Linked DNA regions of Daphnia pulex. The protein of the gene in region 1 binds, or shares a complex with, the protein of each later gene. Links are inferred from orthologs where the notes say so. Each region holds a gene or a part of one and is shown in the gene's direction. Other genes may lie near its edges.

The links. The genes of interacting proteins can lie anywhere in the genome.
Region 2: mediator of RNA polymerase II transcription subunit 8-like (region 1) and mediator of RNA polymerase II transcription subunit 31-A-like share a complex: the UniProt entries of both Drosophila melanogaster proteins name them as parts of the mediator complex. The link is inferred for Daphnia pulex from reciprocal best matches to the Drosophila melanogaster genes MED8 and MED31.
Region 3: mediator of RNA polymerase II transcription subunit 8-like (region 1) and mediator of RNA polymerase II transcription subunit 7-like share a complex: the UniProt entries of both Drosophila melanogaster proteins name them as parts of the mediator complex. The link is inferred for Daphnia pulex from reciprocal best matches to the Drosophila melanogaster genes MED8 and MED7.
Region 4: mediator of RNA polymerase II transcription subunit 8-like (region 1) and mediator of RNA polymerase II transcription subunit 24-like share a complex: the UniProt entries of both Drosophila melanogaster proteins name them as parts of the mediator complex. The link is inferred for Daphnia pulex from reciprocal best matches to the Drosophila melanogaster genes MED8 and MED24.

The regions. Positions count from the first base shown.
Region 1 is NC_060023.1:11,386,716-11,390,889, forward strand, and holds mediator of RNA polymerase II transcription subunit 8-like, read left to right. Parts: upstream 1-1,591; 5' UTR 1,592-1,729; coding exon 1,730-1,753; intron 1,754-1,819; coding exon 1,820-1,960; intron 1,961-2,019; coding exon 2,020-2,116; intron 2,117-2,181; coding exon 2,182-2,309; intron 2,310-2,369; coding exon 2,370-2,592; intron 2,593-2,660; coding exon 2,661-2,761; 3' UTR 2,762-2,799; downstream 2,800-4,174. Other genes in the region: protein CutA homolog, read right to left, coding at 1-26, 84-165; probable 28S ribosomal protein S25, mitochondrial, read right to left, coding at 859-1,027, 1,092-1,179, 1,234-1,477; early endosome antigen 1-like, read right to left, coding at 2,932-3,165, 3,234-3,409, 3,477-3,660, 3,729-3,914, 3,980-4,174. UniProt on the Drosophila melanogaster protein: Component of the Mediator complex, a coactivator involved in the regulated transcription of nearly all RNA polymerase II-dependent genes.
Region 2 is NC_060024.1:13,244,291-13,248,082, reverse strand, and holds mediator of RNA polymerase II transcription subunit 31-A-like, read left to right. Parts: upstream 1-1,523; 5' UTR 1,524-1,664; coding exon 1,665-1,677; intron 1,678-1,755; coding exon 1,756-1,836; intron 1,837-1,893; coding exon 1,894-1,990; intron 1,991-2,049; coding exon 2,050-2,260; 3' UTR 2,261-2,348; downstream 2,349-3,792. Other genes in the region: 2-oxo-4-hydroxy-4-carboxy-5-ureidoimidazoline decarboxylase-like, read right to left, coding at 2,493-2,688, 2,761-2,914, 2,994-3,180. UniProt on the Drosophila melanogaster protein: Component of the Mediator complex, a coactivator involved in the regulated transcription of nearly all RNA polymerase II-dependent genes.
Region 3 is NC_060019.1:10,647,210-10,651,340, forward strand, and holds mediator of RNA polymerase II transcription subunit 7-like, read left to right. Parts: upstream 1-1,768; 5' UTR 1,769-1,904; coding exon 1,905-2,090; intron 2,091-2,147; coding exon 2,148-2,618; 3' UTR 2,619-2,687; downstream 2,688-4,131. Other genes in the region: tyrosine-protein kinase Btk29A-like, read right to left, coding at 419-772, 886-1,153, 1,243-1,404. UniProt on the Drosophila melanogaster protein: Component of the Mediator complex, a coactivator involved in the regulated transcription of nearly all RNA polymerase II-dependent genes.
Region 4 is NC_060019.1:9,365,731-9,371,190, reverse strand, and holds the start of mediator of RNA polymerase II transcription subunit 24-like, read left to right. Parts: upstream 1-1,716; 5' UTR 1,717-1,908; coding exon 1,909-2,004; intron 2,005-2,077; coding exon 2,078-2,203; intron 2,204-2,287; coding exon 2,288-2,389; intron 2,390-2,447; coding exon 2,448-2,809; intron 2,810-2,865; coding exon 2,866-3,194; intron 3,195-3,252; coding exon 3,253-3,581; intron 3,582-3,638; coding exon 3,639-3,875; intron 3,876-3,943; coding exon 3,944-4,110; intron 4,111-4,167; coding exon 4,168-4,345; intron 4,346-4,414; coding exon 4,415-4,512; intron 4,513-4,579; coding exon 4,580-4,796; intron 4,797-4,878; coding exon 4,879-5,027; intron 5,028-5,087; coding exon 5,088-5,329; intron 5,330-5,415; coding exon 5,416-5,460. UniProt on the Drosophila melanogaster protein: Component of the Mediator complex, a coactivator involved in the regulated transcription of nearly all RNA polymerase II-dependent genes.

The DNA.
Region 1 (4,174 bases):
TATCTTCACATCTTCGTTCCCCCTAACTAAAACAGTTTATGAGAAAAGAAAATTCAACAACAGAATATTAACAAACATTATACCGAATTTAAGATCTTTATAAAGTTGTAACACCAAAGCTTTTTGTTTTGGTGTTCGAAATGTCATATTTTCTATTAAGTCCATTTTGTCAAATTCGGAATCAACAACAACTAGCTATTCGAGGGGCTAATTCATTTTTCACTTTTCAGACGACCGCGAGAAGCCGAGAATTGACAGAAGCAGACATCACACGATCGAGAAACAAAGGAGGAACGATTCTCGCAACAACAAAAAAAATTATTCAACAATATTGATATCATATTATTTTTAACATTATGGATACAATTTAATTTAACACTTGCAAAATGATTAAATTTTCTGGTTCTAGTTCCAAGTAGTTTTTATCAATTATTTGCGTAATGCATACTTCGCAATGTCGATAATCAGAAAAACCGTCTGCTTCAACTCTCAAGCTTATCACAACCAAAGTAAATCTTAAAAGCTGCTATGGAAAGATCAAACAAAAAAGCTGGTAAAATGCAGTTCATTAAAAGTTTTTACAACGACCCTTTCAGATGGTAAGTTTTATATAATCCCATTAACTTATGAAACACTCACTAAGAGAATCTTTTTTTATCTTAGGTCGTTGGTGAAGAGCGTGGCTTTGTTCGCCTTGGGAGTAAAGATTGCACGCGAGTGTGTCGACATGGACTTAATGGCTCCTCAAATGCAATAACTACGTTAATTGTCAAACAGTTTAATAATAAAAGCAGAATTGCATAATATTCTCAAAAATTTTTTTTTATTTGACTACATTGTGGGGCAATTGTAATTCATTTATAATTCATCTGGCTTTTGAAACTTGTACTTTCCTCTCCAACTATTTGGCAAAGGAATAAGAGCTGGGCAAGGTAACTGACCAGGTACCTCACAGATGCAATGTCTGCTGCATTTAGCTCCAAAATTAGCTGGGTTTTCTATTTTATCCTCAGCTTTCAGTGTTTCTCTAGATATCAATCAATTAATAATTATTTGGCATTTAATCTTACATAATTGTTTCAACAACTTACTCTGATTTGCAAATAATCCTGCGTACTCTTTCATAGATCTCATCTTTTGACTTGAAATCAACATCCATTAGAACCTCTTCCCCGTTTTCTGAACATGAAATTTGTTACTTATTTGAAAAAAATGTAATATTTTTTTAGTTACCTAAATAACACCGTATAAATGGACTAGGAGTCAAGTTCTTGAAGGTAGCTATCTGAATATTGGGGTTTTTGTACTGTAACTGAGGCAAGTGCCAAAACACGAATTGTCGGGCACCTTCGTGATTTTCACCTTTTGTGTTGTAGTTGATCGAAAATATCTTGACTCTATCCTTTAACACCAACTTATTTCGGTCTAAATACTCCAAAGTTCTTCGGATCGGAGCAGGACCTTTCATAAACGGCATTTTATTATGGGAAAAACTATTTTACTCGACCTAAATGATAATGAGAACTTGAACAAATAATTTCTCAAGCAGACGAACCAACGGAATGGCTAAGTCTTGATAATTTGACACTAGAGGGCTTATGCAACAAACGCAGACGACATTTTTGTGATTGACATTTGGTTGAAGCTAGCAAGCAGCAAGCTACAAAAGCATCACATCAGTTTATGTGAATTAAAACTTAAAAGAGCTTTCTCATAATTTATAACCAAGATGCAGCGTGAAGAGAAACAGCTGGTAATTATATAATTTAAGAATTGAGGTAAATTTTCATCCCAAACTTACAAAAAACGTTCAAATCAGGAAGCCGCTTTGGAAGCTTTGCTTCAGCGAATTAATGACCTAAAGACTTCTATCCGAACTCTGTTATTTCGTTTGGAAAATGAATATGGATCCCTCAGTTGGCCTTCTGTTTTGGATAGCTACGCCGTTATATCTGGCCAGGTAAATTATGCTTAAGACATTAGCAAGTAATTCAGACTAATTTTAAATCGTCAAACCAGATGAATACATTGCTGAAAGTTATGAAGAATGATAAAACTCCACTTTTGAGAAACCTCATAGTTTTACCTCTAGTTTTGAGCCCTGATCCAGATGAGGGTAAAGTTGCACTTACTATGCATACTTGCTGGTATGAGTGATTATCATCAAACATTTATTTGTAGAGCTCAAACAAGCAACAGAAGGGCGTGTTGTGGCCTTTTCACATGACATAACACCTGATATGCTGAGAACAAAACCTGATCCAGATGTGGAACAACGTCAAAATCAATTTGAACAACGTGCTCTACAGGTAAGAATACTTTTAACAGAAATAATAACATAAAATCTTACAACTTCTTTATTGTTAAAGGTTCCACCAGAGACAGCACAAAAGCAAATCAATGCAATGAATAAAGTGGTCAATCATGTTTTGGAGCAAATAACACATTCAAGAGAAGATTGGGAAAATGAAGCTACTGTCCGAGCAAATGCAGCCCACACTTGTATTATAGCCGATACGCACGCTCTGATTGCTGCTGTGGGATTGGGCAAGAACCTTAAAACCCTTCCTACAGCTGCTCCAACTCAACCTGGTGAGTTAATTATGCTTGCTTTGCTTCTAAAATTGCAAAAATTCCAACACATCGTCTTCAATATAAAGGTCCAGGACGCGCACAGCCTGGTCCGGCTCCAGGGAAAACAACAAGTACTATCAAGACAACCATCAAAGCGGCCAGCCAAGCGCACCCATACAACAGATAATAGGACTAGACCAAATACACATTTATTTCATATTGAAATCAGAATACCAAACACGCCTCCCTTATAATATCTCAAATGGAGCACTTCAATCATCGTAAACTGAACATAAACACTCATAATTAACGTCATTAAAAAAGGGGGGGAGGGCGACACGGAATATAATAAGTATTTTAGCGCGGAGAGTTTATAGTCAACTCCTTAAAGCATGAATCGCAAACCCTGACGGGTTTCCGGCTATTACCAACGGCAGTCGATTTACTAGAACACTCGTTGCAAAAGATTTGGCCGCAGTTGCGGCAGTGATGTTTCCTAACCGTTAGATTAAAACCTTTTTGGCAGCTCAGACAATCATTCACTTCGGAATCATCCGCCCACTTTCGGCCCTGCAATTTGGCGTTTTCCATCTGATGTAACGAAGAAAACCATTTTGTCAATTTATAAATGAAAATGTTTGTCGATTTTTTATTTATACCTGAAGACTCTGATTTTCTCGGCCGAGTTCGTGTAAAGCAGCTTGCGAATCTTCTAGGCGACGACGTAGTTCAGCAGCGTTGAACTTAAGTCTGTCCACTTCATTCTCCCATTGATTGCAATTGTTTTGCAGTTCTGTTTTTCCCTCCTCCAGCAACGCTACCCGAGTTTCAAGCTCTGCATTGGAAATTGATTTAAGCACCATTAAAAACAAAACCCAAATTAAAAAAAAAAAAAATCATACCAATCTTAAGTGTGTGATATTTCTCTGCCGATGCCTGTAACTCTTCACAGCGCTGATAGCGGGTTGCCGATAGGTCTTCAGCTTCACTTAAATTACCCTTCAGCGCCTTAATTTCTTCTTCTAGCTTCGTCTGTTTTTCTAACCACGCACTATTTTCCTTTGCTCGTCCTTCCTTGGCTGCATTCTGTTGAATCAACAAAGCCATATGCAACAATCGTTTCATGAGATAGTTTAAAACTTTTGATCTCATACCAATTGTTCGATAAGCTGATTTTTGTCTTTTAGCAAACCTTCCGATTCATTTTTGATCCGCTGCAAATGGATGCGATGCTCAGTCGTTTGCTCGTCTAGTTGTTGCTGAAGGTGCGTACTAAGAGTTGCGAGTGAATCTTTCTCACCTCTCAACAACTGCTCGTGCTCACCCCACTCGGCCTTTTCCTACAAAAAATTAACGATCATTGTAAATGCGTAAGAAAACAAAACAATTATTTTCGAAACGTTACTTTAATACGACGTAGCTTTTCTTGTTCGACAGCTTCCGAAAGTGGTTCAAGCTCAGTGACACGTTCCTCCAATCTCTTTATGGTGTTAGTTTTATCAGTTAGTTGGTTTTGCAGTTGATCCAACTGTTTGACATTCTCTTGATAAGTTGACTTTAACTGGCTAAGTTCTGCCTCCAGAGTAGCAATGGTCTTTTC
Region 2 (3,792 bases), on another chromosome or scaffold:
TTAATATTTTGCGTTAATAAGATTTCGCGTCGCCCTTTTGTTTTGTTTATTACATTGTTTAATTTTTTGTTTCCCCCCCCCCTCTCTGCGTCGACTGCTATATACTCGGCGACGTGACGCAAATGGAATCGGGGGCTTGCTGTAATTGCCTTCAACGGCAGGTTAACATCACAACAGTTGCCGAAAGTATAGAGACGAGGCGGAGTCAGTTTTTGGGCATTGTCCGTCGCACGTGCCACCGCCCACCGGTTCGTCTACCTAGTGGCAAAAGCGTTATTAATATGGCGGGGAAATGTAATGAGAATCTTTTCCACGAAAATTTGAAACTCCTCAGGTAAAAAAAAAAAAGGCTGATATGGGTCAGGCAATAAGCGGCAGGTGATTGATAAAAGCCCACACTGCCTCAGCAACAGCTGGATCATTTTTGTCATGTCACGCCACCTGTTGCTACCTACGCTCTACTGAATTCTGTGCTATCAATGATGGAATATTACTCCATCATTTATCCCGGACCGACGGCAGAAATCCGCGTTGAATCTATTTGTTACTCCAATCACGTCACTTTGCTGATTGAACTTATAATCATAGAAGAGTGGAATTTCAAGCACGATTATTAGATAATACCAGGGAATTAAGATTGATACGTTCATCCTCTTGATTGTCGCATGGTCTACCGGAAAACTCGGGGCCGTAGGTGAGAACCAACCATTATACATCCGCCGAGTGCGCAGGAGGATGGCTACGTAGTATAGACCTACCACATGTACAATACGTGAATATGCACTCAGACATGATACACCGCCCTCACGGCCGCGTGCATTATCCGGATGTCACGTATACACGGAGTAGATATGACACTTTAAGATGATATTTCTGACCTATACATGGTAGAATGCTATCGCCCCCGCACCGGATATCCGATCAAAAGTGGCGAAAATAAGAACAAAAGTCAAAGAAAAATTTCAACAGATTTCGTTTGGGTTGAATATTTTTGATTAGCCTACTTTCAAATATTTCCGTTCTGGAAAAGGACGATAAAATAGTAACGGAGGCGTAGAATGTCGCATATGTGAAACAACTGGAAATCACACGGTAATATATTCCATCTTTTTATTTTTCCGTTCGCCTTTCCTGCTGAATTCATAATTTTTCTGATTTGACTTTTTTATTTTGGTATTTTTGTTTTTCAACTCCATATTCCATCTAAATTCTTCTATTGATCTTACCTCCTACAGGAAAATAAAATAACTCACGGTGCAAACTGAAGTTAGTATAGTCTAGCCGTCTAGCCTATCAGCTGCGGCTTCATGGTTTATTAGGGTCCTACGGCGCAGCGCAACCGCAAAATGTTATCCAAATTCGGAAATCAAACTGTGTGATAAGGCCACCACACACATTAATAAATTGTGGGCATGAAATTTGAAATCGTTTTAATTTTTTTTTTATTTTGTAAAAATTTTTTTAAGTTAATTCAATTTTTAATATTTTCTCGATTTCTTTCTAGATGGCATCAATTGATCAAGCAGACGACAAATTGCAAAAGTTGACGCTTTCCAATTTCCATTTCAAGTTGTTGTCTGACGTTTCCATTCTGTCCGGTTGCCTCGTTTCTAGATTTCCAAAACTGTTGAAGCAAACTACGTTATTTCGTTGTTTGCTTCGCAATGAGCACCAGAGGTAAATATATCGTGAAGTGTAGTCGTTTTCAATACAGATTCTCATTGCTATGTTATTATTCCTTTTTCCGATGGGTAGAAACTGATGAACAACAAAGGATTCGATTTCAGGTGGAACTAGAATTTGTGCAATGTTTCGCAAATCCAAATTATCTGCACTGTAAGTATTTGGTCTATTTTTAAAATCAACACTTTCATTATGCCTTGTTTACACTAGTCCTTGCTCAACGTGGCTATTTTAAGGATCCGGCGTTTGTCAACTACATCAAGTATTTACAGTATTGGAAGGAGCCTGCTTATGCAAAATATTTGAAGTACACCAATTCACTTGCAATTTACCCTAACTAGAAATTACAATTTCATTATTTTCCAGGTACCCAATGTGTTTGCATTTCCTAGACTTGCTTCAATATGAGCATTTCAGAAAGGAGGTTGTGAATGGCCAGTGTGCTCGCTTCATTGATGATCAACAAATCCTTCACTGGCAACATTACACTAGAAAGAGGGTTCGTCTTCTTCAAAGTCAAGCTGAGAAGCACATGATGACTGTTCAGAATGAGCCAACACCCCAGAAAAGTGTTTGATTCATGATAATTATTGTTTAAGGAACTTTTTAAACTTCTCTTATATTGGGCAAGTATATGCAAGACAATATAGACAAATTTTTGTAAATTGCTGTATTTTGTGTTGAGTTTTTGCAAACTACCAGACAAAATGTTAACAACACATATGTTTTGGAAGACTTGTTTTGAGTGAGAATGTTTAGAATGGAATAGCTGCTGTTGACCTCAACTGATGGGAGCGAGTGGAAAATCTCTACATATTACGAGATTTGTCATCAGTTACTATACTCAACAACCTCAAAAGGCAGATTTTCTTCACTTCTTCAATCCCAATGTTTAGTTCTTCAGCAGCTGAGTGTTCCAATCTCTCAACTATTCCTTTCAAGATTGCTTCCTTCTTGTTCTGCCTGGCACAGATAACAAAAGGAAATCCAAACTTTTCTCTGTATCTATTAAAATAATAGCCCAAAAGACACAGCTCATTAGTTACTATATAGTTATAGAACAGTAATTTGTCATACTTGATGTTGGTCTCTCCTAGCAGTTGTTTTTCACCAGGTGTCATTGTGTCTAAACCAGCAGCTTTCTGTTCAGCAGTACTCTCCTGTGTTAGGCTGCCAAGTTCAGCTAGCCTGCCAGCCAAATCAGGGTGAAGTCTTAGCACCCCCTCTTTACCTATCAAATGAGAAAACAAATGTTCAATTGATTGGCTATAAATAAGCATTCAAGCAGCCTGTAACTAAATAGTTCTAACCTGTGTCCGGAAGGAGGTCCAAAAACGAGCAAATTTCTTGGTGGAGATGATGAACGTCACGAAATGGGCGATTACGCCAAATTGCCGCCGCGCAAATTGAACAATGTTCAACTACATTACCGAATCGACTGATGAAATCTTCATAATTCAATTCGTTTACCAGCGAAATGTTCAGCATATCAGCCATTCTTGACGTGTGTAGACCGAGCAAGTGGCGCTTGACGACGATCTAAACAGAATGCAGCCGTAGTAAAGATAGTCAAGGTCGTCTATAATCAAAATAAAAGTAGACGAATAAAAATTCGAAACGTGTTTGTTTTTAAGTTTGATACATTTGTTATTGCAGCACTAAATAATGACGTGGATTATTCTCAATCCTGATCCTGCAGTTTGTTTTTGAGTTAACTCGATCGATTATCTGGGAAGATAATGAAAAATAAAAATATAATATTCCACCACTATCACGTAGCTAAATATCGAGTTTTAACCTTCATATATTCTCGCCATATTTATGTACACACACTTAAGGGATCTCGTTTCCACGGTCAAAACAACGTCATCTAAATGGCATTGAAATTGTTTGTGTGCATAAGTTGTTTTGATTTTTTCGGCATCAAAACAGAATACTGAATTGCGTGATAATAACAAGTTAACAAACTCAAAGGAAATTGAATTTTTAAAGATTTCACATAGAATAGCCACTTTTATGTCTGCTTGTCGAGGTGCACGTGATCAACTGACATTGCCTGAGGGTCATACTACTGTCAAACACGAAGGGGAACACAGAAAAAAGCGTGTC
Region 3 (4,131 bases), on another chromosome or scaffold:
TTCATGAATATTGCCAGTACCAATCTCACACAAGTTTTCTTTCTCTAAACCACTGCAGCGCCACACGCAACACTCACTTCTCTAGTTTTCTAATAATTAGTTGATCTTTTCAGCTATCCGATAATTTAGCTTCGCAAGTGAAGTGGATGTAATAACTTTATCCATTTAGTTTTTTTTACAAGGAAAACAAATTGAATCTATTCCAACGACGCAGTTTCTTAGAATGTGCTTCTATTGGCTTAAATCCCCCTCCCTCCCAAAGTCCTTGACTAAGGATTTGATGCGAAATAACTCAACATTAACTGTTGTTCATGTACTTAGAAGTCGTACAACTACTGTTTCCTAGAAGTATTGCAGGCAACGAACGGGTGTAAATCATTAGTTAGCACTTAGTAGGATACATAAGCGGGTATAGTACCTAACGCAACAACGGCGTTGTGAGAAGTGGAAGGGGATGCAGGAACAACATCCCCGACGATTGCCGGATGAATTTCCGTCGTGGGTTTAATCGCCGTTGGTTTGACCATGGCCGCCTCGACTTCAGCCCCATTCGCAGGTTTAGCGACAGGACTTGGTGAGGGAGACGGATGGTGGATGATGTTACTGAAATTGATGCCCATGTGTTGAAGTGTATTGGGAGCCCAAGTTACAGAACGGCAACCGTTTATTGCCTTAGACGTGGACCTTTGGGTTGATCCACAGCAAAGATAACTTCTATTCCCCCACAGGGCAGGGTGATACACATTCACAAGAGGAGCACTGTCTTTGACCACTATCAGGAGAAAAATAAAATAAATTATTAGATGAGATAAAATGAACATGTGAGATAAATACTGCTATTTGTCACACATAACTACTTGAGACGTCAAAAGAGAATGTTCTCACCAACTCGGATATTCCAAAGCCAGATATCTCTTTCTTGCTGAGTGGGAGTGAAAATGCAAAGAGTCAAGTCTGTTGCACTACAACCTTCATTACACTCATAAGGATTGTACACTATCTGAAAAGCAGGAGATCCCTTCAAATCACTCGGAATGGAACCTGTAAGGTTTGCCAATGGACCGATGGCAGGTGTGTCAGGTGCTGGATCAACAGCTTCCACAACTTTCACTGTTTGGAGGTCGACACGTCCCTTTTCTTTTCCTTTGCGATTCTGTTGTTTGGAATTGATGGTTGTGATGAATTAGTGATGAAGGGATTCACGAACACAGTCCATGCGTGTTTAGTAGAACTAAACCTTACCTCGCATTCGCCCTCGTAGTAGGCGAGGAACTTTGTGGTAAGGACGAACCATCGACTCTTGTAGTTGATCAAACTAAACCTCTTCTTGTTCTGTGATCGTTTCACTAAATTGCCTTGCTTTTTTACCTCACCTGCAAGAGGTTTGGCAGAGCTTTTAAACATACTTACAAAACGATCACTAATCAAAAAAGTAGTCCCCACTTGATAAAGCTGTTATAACTTCGTTCATTGTCTTTCTCCCTGGACCCTGGTACGAAGAGAATGAAAGCAGGACGAAGAAAAAGCTCTCCAAACCTCTCTAAATACTGGCAACTCGGACAGATCTAGCGGCAGTTGCCGACAACTATTATCGGATTTAATTTCCTCCGAAAATTAGCGATAAAATCGAGGAAATATACATTTAAAATAAAAAAATAAACAACGATTAATTGATTTAATGACAATTTAATGTAAAATTGAATTCTTTTACAACATTCTAAATCAAATTTGTTTCCATTCAAGAATGGCGTGTCGGGACAGCCACAAAAAGGAGAACATTGATCAAAAAATAGTCTGCTGAAATCCCCAAGCAAACGAACTAGAAAACGTCACATTCTTCATTCTTGAAAACAAACTATATTGTTTACATTACTATATTGCTTCATTCCAGTGGGAAAGTAAAAATGTCAGAAACGGCTCAAGTTAGTTCATTACCTTTGCCACCGATGCAATATGTCAGTCTTTTTAATGAAGAAAACGCTAAAAGAGGAAGAACACCGAGACCACCTCCTCCGATCACAGACAATTATTCCATGTTTGGTAATCCATATAATACTGATGATGCTGTGATCCGACCTCTTGAAAGCCAGGTGATAGAAGTTTTTTCTTAATCAAAGCTTTCTTTAATACTCGTTTTACTATTCCAGAATATACGACGTCTGTACCCTAATAACTATGACCACAGAAGAGAACTGAAAAAGCTCAATCACTCCATCACTGCTAGTTTCCTTGACTTGGTTGATATCTGCATACGAAATCCAGAGTCTGAAGCAAGAGCCACAAAAATTGATGACCTCACTTTGCTTTTCATTCACATGCATCATCTGGTCAATGAATTTCGGCCTCATCAAGCAAGGGAAACTCTTAGAGTTATGCTAGAACAACAAAAACGACAAAGATTGGAAATTGCAGAGCGTTTCAGAAGACATTTTGACAAAGCTTGGGAATTGGTTCAGCAGGCTGTCAACACAATTCCTGAACCAACTGAAGGCAACATCAAGCTCCTTATAGATGTTGAACGGGTTCAACCTTCAGAAGGCAATGCAAGCAACCAAACTTCTGGGAATGGGTGTACTGAGGAGGATCGTGTTCTGTGTCAAATGATTGATTCTTTGTGAATTCTGTGTTATTTTATGTTTATTCAAAGTGGAAAATACATTCGATCTACTCGCCTTTCTGATGTAAAATAGTCTGCTGTTTTATTTTTAATCGTTTTGGGACAAACATAATCTCGGTGATTTATTTTTTTTTAAGAATTTTTATTTTAAAATAATTATTGCAATAGATTTTTCTATTTGTATTTTAGTTGATAAATGTTGATGATCCACCTAAATTAAACATCTAGATCAAATTGCAACGTTGTTTATTCGTTTTAGTCCGTCTGCAGTCGCTGTAACATATTTTTCCTTCAAATTTTTCCTCTTGAAAGTTGATTCGAAACAACAATACCGTTGAAGTTAATTCTCTGCTTTTGGTAAGTGCATTGCTGTTAATTTAACTGTATATTGAACCGGTCTATCGATAGTTATTAGTTTTATCATTTCGCCTTGCAGGTAACATTCAATTGTTATAGCCAAAGCAAGTTTTTACACGTGATCATCTTTCGTTAGTAGAGTAAATTTTAAAATGACTGAAAGAAAAGTCAGCCCAGTTCCCGTCTATAACAATATCCTAATGGAACAATTTTTTGATGAGATCCATCCCAAACGAAGTCCTGTCATACTCAGAGGATTAGACATTGGAAGTTGTCTAGGAAAGTGGACAGCTGAATATCTTTCGCAAAATGTTGGGAATAAGCCAGTGAAGATTCATGTATCTGAAACAGGGCAAATGAATTTCCTAACCAAAAACTTTCATTATAAAACACTGCCGTTTGATCAAGTAATCAAAAGGTCTTCTGAAAATGAGCACGAAAACTTTTTTCTAACAAACAGTGAAGTTTACTATTTAAGGGCACTTGGAACTGATTCAAGGGGAAGAGAGGTTGCCAATCTTGATTCTCATTATCCTGAACTTTGCCAAGATTTTCAAGTTCCCAAGTTTTTGGAACCAAGCACTATTTTTTCAAGTGTCCTCAGGGTGGCTTCTGAAGGAGTTCAGTTGTGGACACATTACGATGTGATGGACAATCTTCTTGTCCAAGTCACTGGCAAAAAACGAGCCGTTCTCTATTCGCCAGAAGACCTTCCGTATCTCTATTTGGAAGGCGACAAATCTCGGGTTATCGACATTGATTTTCCTGATCTGGAACACTTTCCGGAGTTCGCCAAAGTAACATCTCACGAATGTATCATGGAGCCCGGAGACGTTCTTTTCATCCCGGCTCTGTGGTTTCATAATATGACATCACTCGAGTTCTCCGTAGCAGTCAACGTTTTCTGGCGAAACTTGAGTCCAGAGGTGTACGATAAAAAAGACCCTTACGGCAACAAAGATCCGCTACCGGCCTCAAAAGTAAGGCACTGTCAAAGCTTCAGGGCCTCGGTTATTTTTCTATCTCAACTTTCAAACTGCAGGCGTTGGAGATGGTTGAATCTGCTCTGAAACACCTGTCCATGCTGCCTGAAGAGTATCAACGTTTTTACAAGAGGAGAATGGTTTCTAGAGTTTTAAAAAATTTTTGATTATTGT
Region 4 (5,460 bases), on another chromosome or scaffold:
ATTTGATTTGTTTACTTTCCTTGAATTATAAGGTCTGTCACGTCTCAAAAGTCTTGACAAGATTATGAAGAATCAAGTAGCTAAGCTAGGTAACTTAACTTTTAAAAACACGCACGTAAACTACAAGTGCTCTACACAGAAATGAGATTGGTTTTAACTGTTTCGGTGTGTCAAATCGCCTACACAACGAATCATCTGCTTCAAAGCGGTTCCATGTTAACAAGTCGCAATTACTGACCTCTCTTCAGTCCCTCTCAACTCCTGTCAACAAGACTCTTTCAAGCGTTAAAAAAATAAAAAAAAATAAACCTTTCAAGTTTTAGCACGCGCTAAGTTCTTCATCGGCTCTCCAACTTTCTCTGCGTGTATGCAAAACAAAAAATATTTCACTTTTCAGAACGCTGCAACATTTCCCGAATTCATAATCAAACTAAAACACAAAAAATAGTACCGTAATAATGACGCACAATTCAAAATAAAAGTGTCGATTGATTCATGTCATTTTCCAACGCAGTTGAGCACGACATCTCACGCCATTTTTTTTTTTTTTGTTAATTATAGTCCACGAGAACCAGCCTACCTTAAATAGTAACTCAACACCAACCAGGATGTTCTTGAGAAGAAGAATCGTATTGCTGACACTGGCCCTTATTTTAGCTATTGTTATCATCACCGTGACCATTGTCGGGCTTCTCATCTCATCATATAATGACCGGTACATGCACAGTATAAATATCCAACAAGAGGAGAAATCGGAGATTGTTCTACTTTCTCAATTTCTTCAGTCTTTACATTCTTATTTATTTTTAAATAAAATTTAAAAAATCTATTTTTGCAGTCAACAGGCAGAAGCGGAAGCTAGAAAAGACCATGGTACTCACATGGAGATAGAAAAATATGAGGATATGGAAAAGAAAATGAGTTCTATCGCTTCTGATTTACCCGAGAGTGATGATACGGAAATCGATGAACGTGACTTTTTACCAGTACCACCAGGTGTAGTCGTAATATTTTGATCATCGCATACACGGACGGTCATGGCTGAAATTATTTTGATTAAACATGAATAGCTACAACAAATACGGACAGCAGCGGCAGCGGATTTGAGCCTTCAAGTACGGAAAAGACTTCGTTGAACGTGAATTCTGTTCCTCTAACAGACGAATATGAATCATCTCAAGAAGTTGGAAGTGGAGATTCGTTAGATCATCATCAAGCCGGTAGTGGAGATAATTCCGAAGATCGACACTTTGGCATGGGAAGTGGGGATTTTTCTGGAGACCGACGAGACGTCGGCAACGGGTTTGATCAACCCGTTTAATTCGTCACAACTAACAAGCAATCTCATTCCGACCTTCCTCTTGCAACTATATAGTACTTTATATAATAAATACAATTTATCCCTGTCACTGCAAATTCTATTGGTAAATTTCTTGTGCACATGTTATGAAAGCTATCCGTAAATACATACAAAATTCGTGTACCATTTAACCGCGACCAAATTCTTTCTGTTACGTAAACCGATGTTAAAACTAAAAGTTTTAACATAGATTTATTTTGTTTTATACTAAAATTGTCAAATTGATTTGGTTCTGAAAACACCGAACACGGATTGGCCTTCAAGTGGGGGATCGTTTGTTAAGCACGTAAAACACTAATTGGTCGATTCGTTGCTGCTGGTAGTTTGAATTCCACGCGAAAATGTCAAAATGATTTGTAGTTCCACTTTTCACCGCTGGGGTGTTTATGGTATACCGTGTCGTCTGCTTTGAACGCTCCTCTACAAACCACAAACTCAAAAATTTCACCTCACCTTCAGAATTTAACGAATAATTGTGGCGTACTTCAACATATGTTTGTTAAATTGTGTTTTAGGTTATTAAGCTTGAAATTTCTATAATCGAGAGGATGACTGAAAGTGTAGAGCAAAAGCTCAAGCACTTGATGAGGAAGGCTTGGAGGGAACGTTGGACAGATCTCATGTGGGGGATATATGTCAAAGAGGTACTTTAACTGTAATTTCGTAACAAAAAAAAATATCTTTACCAGTTTTAAATTAAACTTTCTTTACATAAAGGTAATACCAGCAGGATCAACTGGAGATACATATAATCTAGCAGAAAGCATTTTACAGCAGGCTTTGATCGGACCATCTCCAAATTCAAAGTTGTTGTCATATCTACAGCATTCATTACATGTTCAAGTAAAACCACAACTTTAATTCAATTACTAAACACATTTTGTTTTGCTTGTTAATATTTAATTGCATACCATTTGTGTGTTTTAGATTGTTTCCTACAGTGCTGTTTTCGAAAATATCTGCCTTCAAGGTAGTATCCAGAAAACCAGATGCCTTTTGGAGTTACTACTTTTGGTGGAGCAATCAATAGTAACTTTTCCCATTCAGTCTTAAATTGAGATATGGTTTTAACAATATTATTTATTAGAAACATATTTCATGTACTGGATCTGGCGATGGGCCTGCTGCTTTAGCTGCTTCTCTATTGTCTTTGGAAACTTGGCTTTGGAGTCTTACGTCTGATGGACTAAAAAAACTATTTGATAATAATAGTGCAACCAATGACTATTCAGTCATTTGCCATTATACTACAGGATTACTGGGGACTTTGTATGAAGAGAACTATTTAATATCTCTTCTATACATTGCACGTTGCTGCACTAATGATCAGTTTTCAGCAACTCATCTTACATCGCTTGTAAACCAAACTGAGTCCAACCTGAAAAATTTAACTACTAATGGGAATCCGTCATCAGAAAAACTTGTGGAATCTGTCGAAAAAGTCATGAGGTACTTCATTTGATGTTCTTCGTCAATGAGTGGTCATTAAAACAAATTCTCCACAGGCAATGCCGATCATTTGAAAATGATCTATTCAAAGAAAATGGTCCCGAAAAGCCCTTTTACGAGAACTCATTGTGCACAGACGTACATACATTAATATCTTGGGAGGCGTTGCTTCGCCCCACGTCAGATGGCCTTGAGTTGACTCGACAGTTGGAAGTTCTACAGAAACTAAGAGGCTATTCACCCACCCAGCTCTATTGCGAAATCCTCAGAGCGTGTTGCCTAGGACTAGCCGAAACTGCTGATTCTCCTGGAGAGCTACGTTGGGCTGTATTCACTTTCCTCAAGGCACCGTCATTACTACTCCGACTTCATCGATCAATTTTTGGTACGATTAGCAATATTTTAAAATTTCAAACTGTTCTATTAAATTCTCGTTTATCCAGGATTGGATCCAAATTCGCCTATTGGAGAACCAAGTCCGGAAGTCGCGGGTGCGTTTGAGCGCCTTCTTTGCTATCCTGGACTTTTAGAAACAACCGATGCCAAATGCCATTGCAATGTCGTCGAAGGTTTATTAAATGAAGTGAAAATACGGACATCTCTTTTATCTGAATGGCATGTTACAAGCATCCTCAGCAAAAGAGAAAGTCTATCCCGCGGAGGTCTGAAGTTAGAGACCACTAACACACAAATAGCTACTTTGGTTCTTCGTGCTGAGCCAACGGTGGCCAGTATTCTGAAAACGTTGGATACTGATTACGCTAAAAATCAGGTAATCAAGGAAAATGTAGAGAATTACGTAGAGCAAGTAATAACATCTTCATTTTAGGACACGCTGTTGAAAGTTTTATCTCATTTGCTTTCGGGGCAAAGCTTCGAACTCATACTGAACGCTGCAACTGGGACTGGTAAACTCCGAGCTTTTGCCACAAAACTCGTGCGATTTAACGAAGCGAATCGCCAACCTGCTGGTTCCGATCCAAGTAAAACTGCAAATGCAAGGGCTCTACTCTTTGACATCTCATTTCTAATGCTCTGCCGTATTACGCAAATGTACGGCATTGAGGTAATGAAAATCATCTAATAATTCACACCTGAATGCCTTCTGATGTTACTTGTTCTAATGATCGATAGGTGATACTGAGTGGTGAACTAGGAGGGGAGACTTTCTTTGAGCAGTGGGCTTCAGAATGGCTGAAACCTAATCAGGCGCCTGATTTGTCATTAAGTCGCTGCGATCCCATGTTGACTGATCAGTTATTGAAAGCCTTGACATCTGGAGAGAGTGACCTTAGATCAGGGTAAAATAATCTCGCCATTTTTTTCTTGAAAAATAATAAGCCCATTTCTATTCATAGGAGCGTTCGATGGCACGAAGCTTGTTTCCACGTCCCTGCTGTAATACGGGAAATTTTGGGGGCTTACGAATCACAATTAGTTTCTGATGAAGAAGTTGAAAGGATTCTCGATACTTTACGGACTCAAATGTGCTGTCTGTCTGTTTGTGCTGCCGCTTGGCTTCGATTTTACATCCAAGTAAGAAAAGATCCAATTAAAAAAAAATCAAAAAGATTCGAATTAAAATACGGTGGACATCTCCTTTAGGTACAACCAGCAAATCTGAAAAGTAAGCCCACGAGCATGCTCGATCATTTGATGACTTCCCTGAATCTTGATGACTCTAAAGAGCATTATAGGGAAAGGTAAATTACGATAATGCCCTAACAAATGATTTTTCGCGTTCACTATAAAATTCTTTTTTCCATTAAGGTCAGTATTGATGCTGCAAATCATTCGGCGTCTGGCACAAGACGACAATCCCCTACAAAGCGTCTCAGAGAATCAAGATCAAAGTTTGGATCATCAGTTAACCAAATTATGGAATAAGATTTTAAATCATGGTTGGTCAGACCATAGCACAACAGTGGGTATTGATCAACTATTCAAAATTGGTGGAGCAACATGGTTGGTCACTTCTTTGGTCAAGGTACTTAATCAAAGAACTTTATCCTAGACAAGCCTAGCAGGTATGGGTATGCGATTGAATGTCCTTTCTTTGTGTCTCGCAGGCAGTTATTAAAGAGCAATCTTCTGACAAAAGACAACGGTGCGTCGAAGGAGCGCTGTCAGTTGCACATTTAGATTTAGAAAGCTGTGCCATTTCTTTAGCAACCAGAGTACTCCCATTCCTACTAACTCACTCCTCAATGCTGGCCAGGTAAAAGGGTTTGGCCTCAGCGTAATGCCAATCCCAGTTAACATTCCTTTTTTATTTCAGTGACGAAGAAACCGGTGGACCAGGCGGCAAAGCGTTAGCCCAGTTGACTGTCCTGCTGTTTACCGCTGCGTTGAATAACCAGTTAGCCCCAGAATCCGACTCATCCAGCCCTTCCAAAAAGTTGGGTTCAAAACGTTCAATCGATTGGGATATGAATACGCCGGGTTTTCGATATCCTCCTTTGAAAAAGATGGCTCTTCATGAGGAGGAATTTGACTTTATGTTTGTAGCTCCTAACAGCGGTAAGTTGTTGATTTGTTTTGTTGTTTTTTTTTGTTTGTTTTTTTAAGATTATTTGAAACCCTGACATATTGATATTTGTTTTCAGCCCATGAAAATAATCCACTCTCCAATGCAATTGCAAATTTAATGC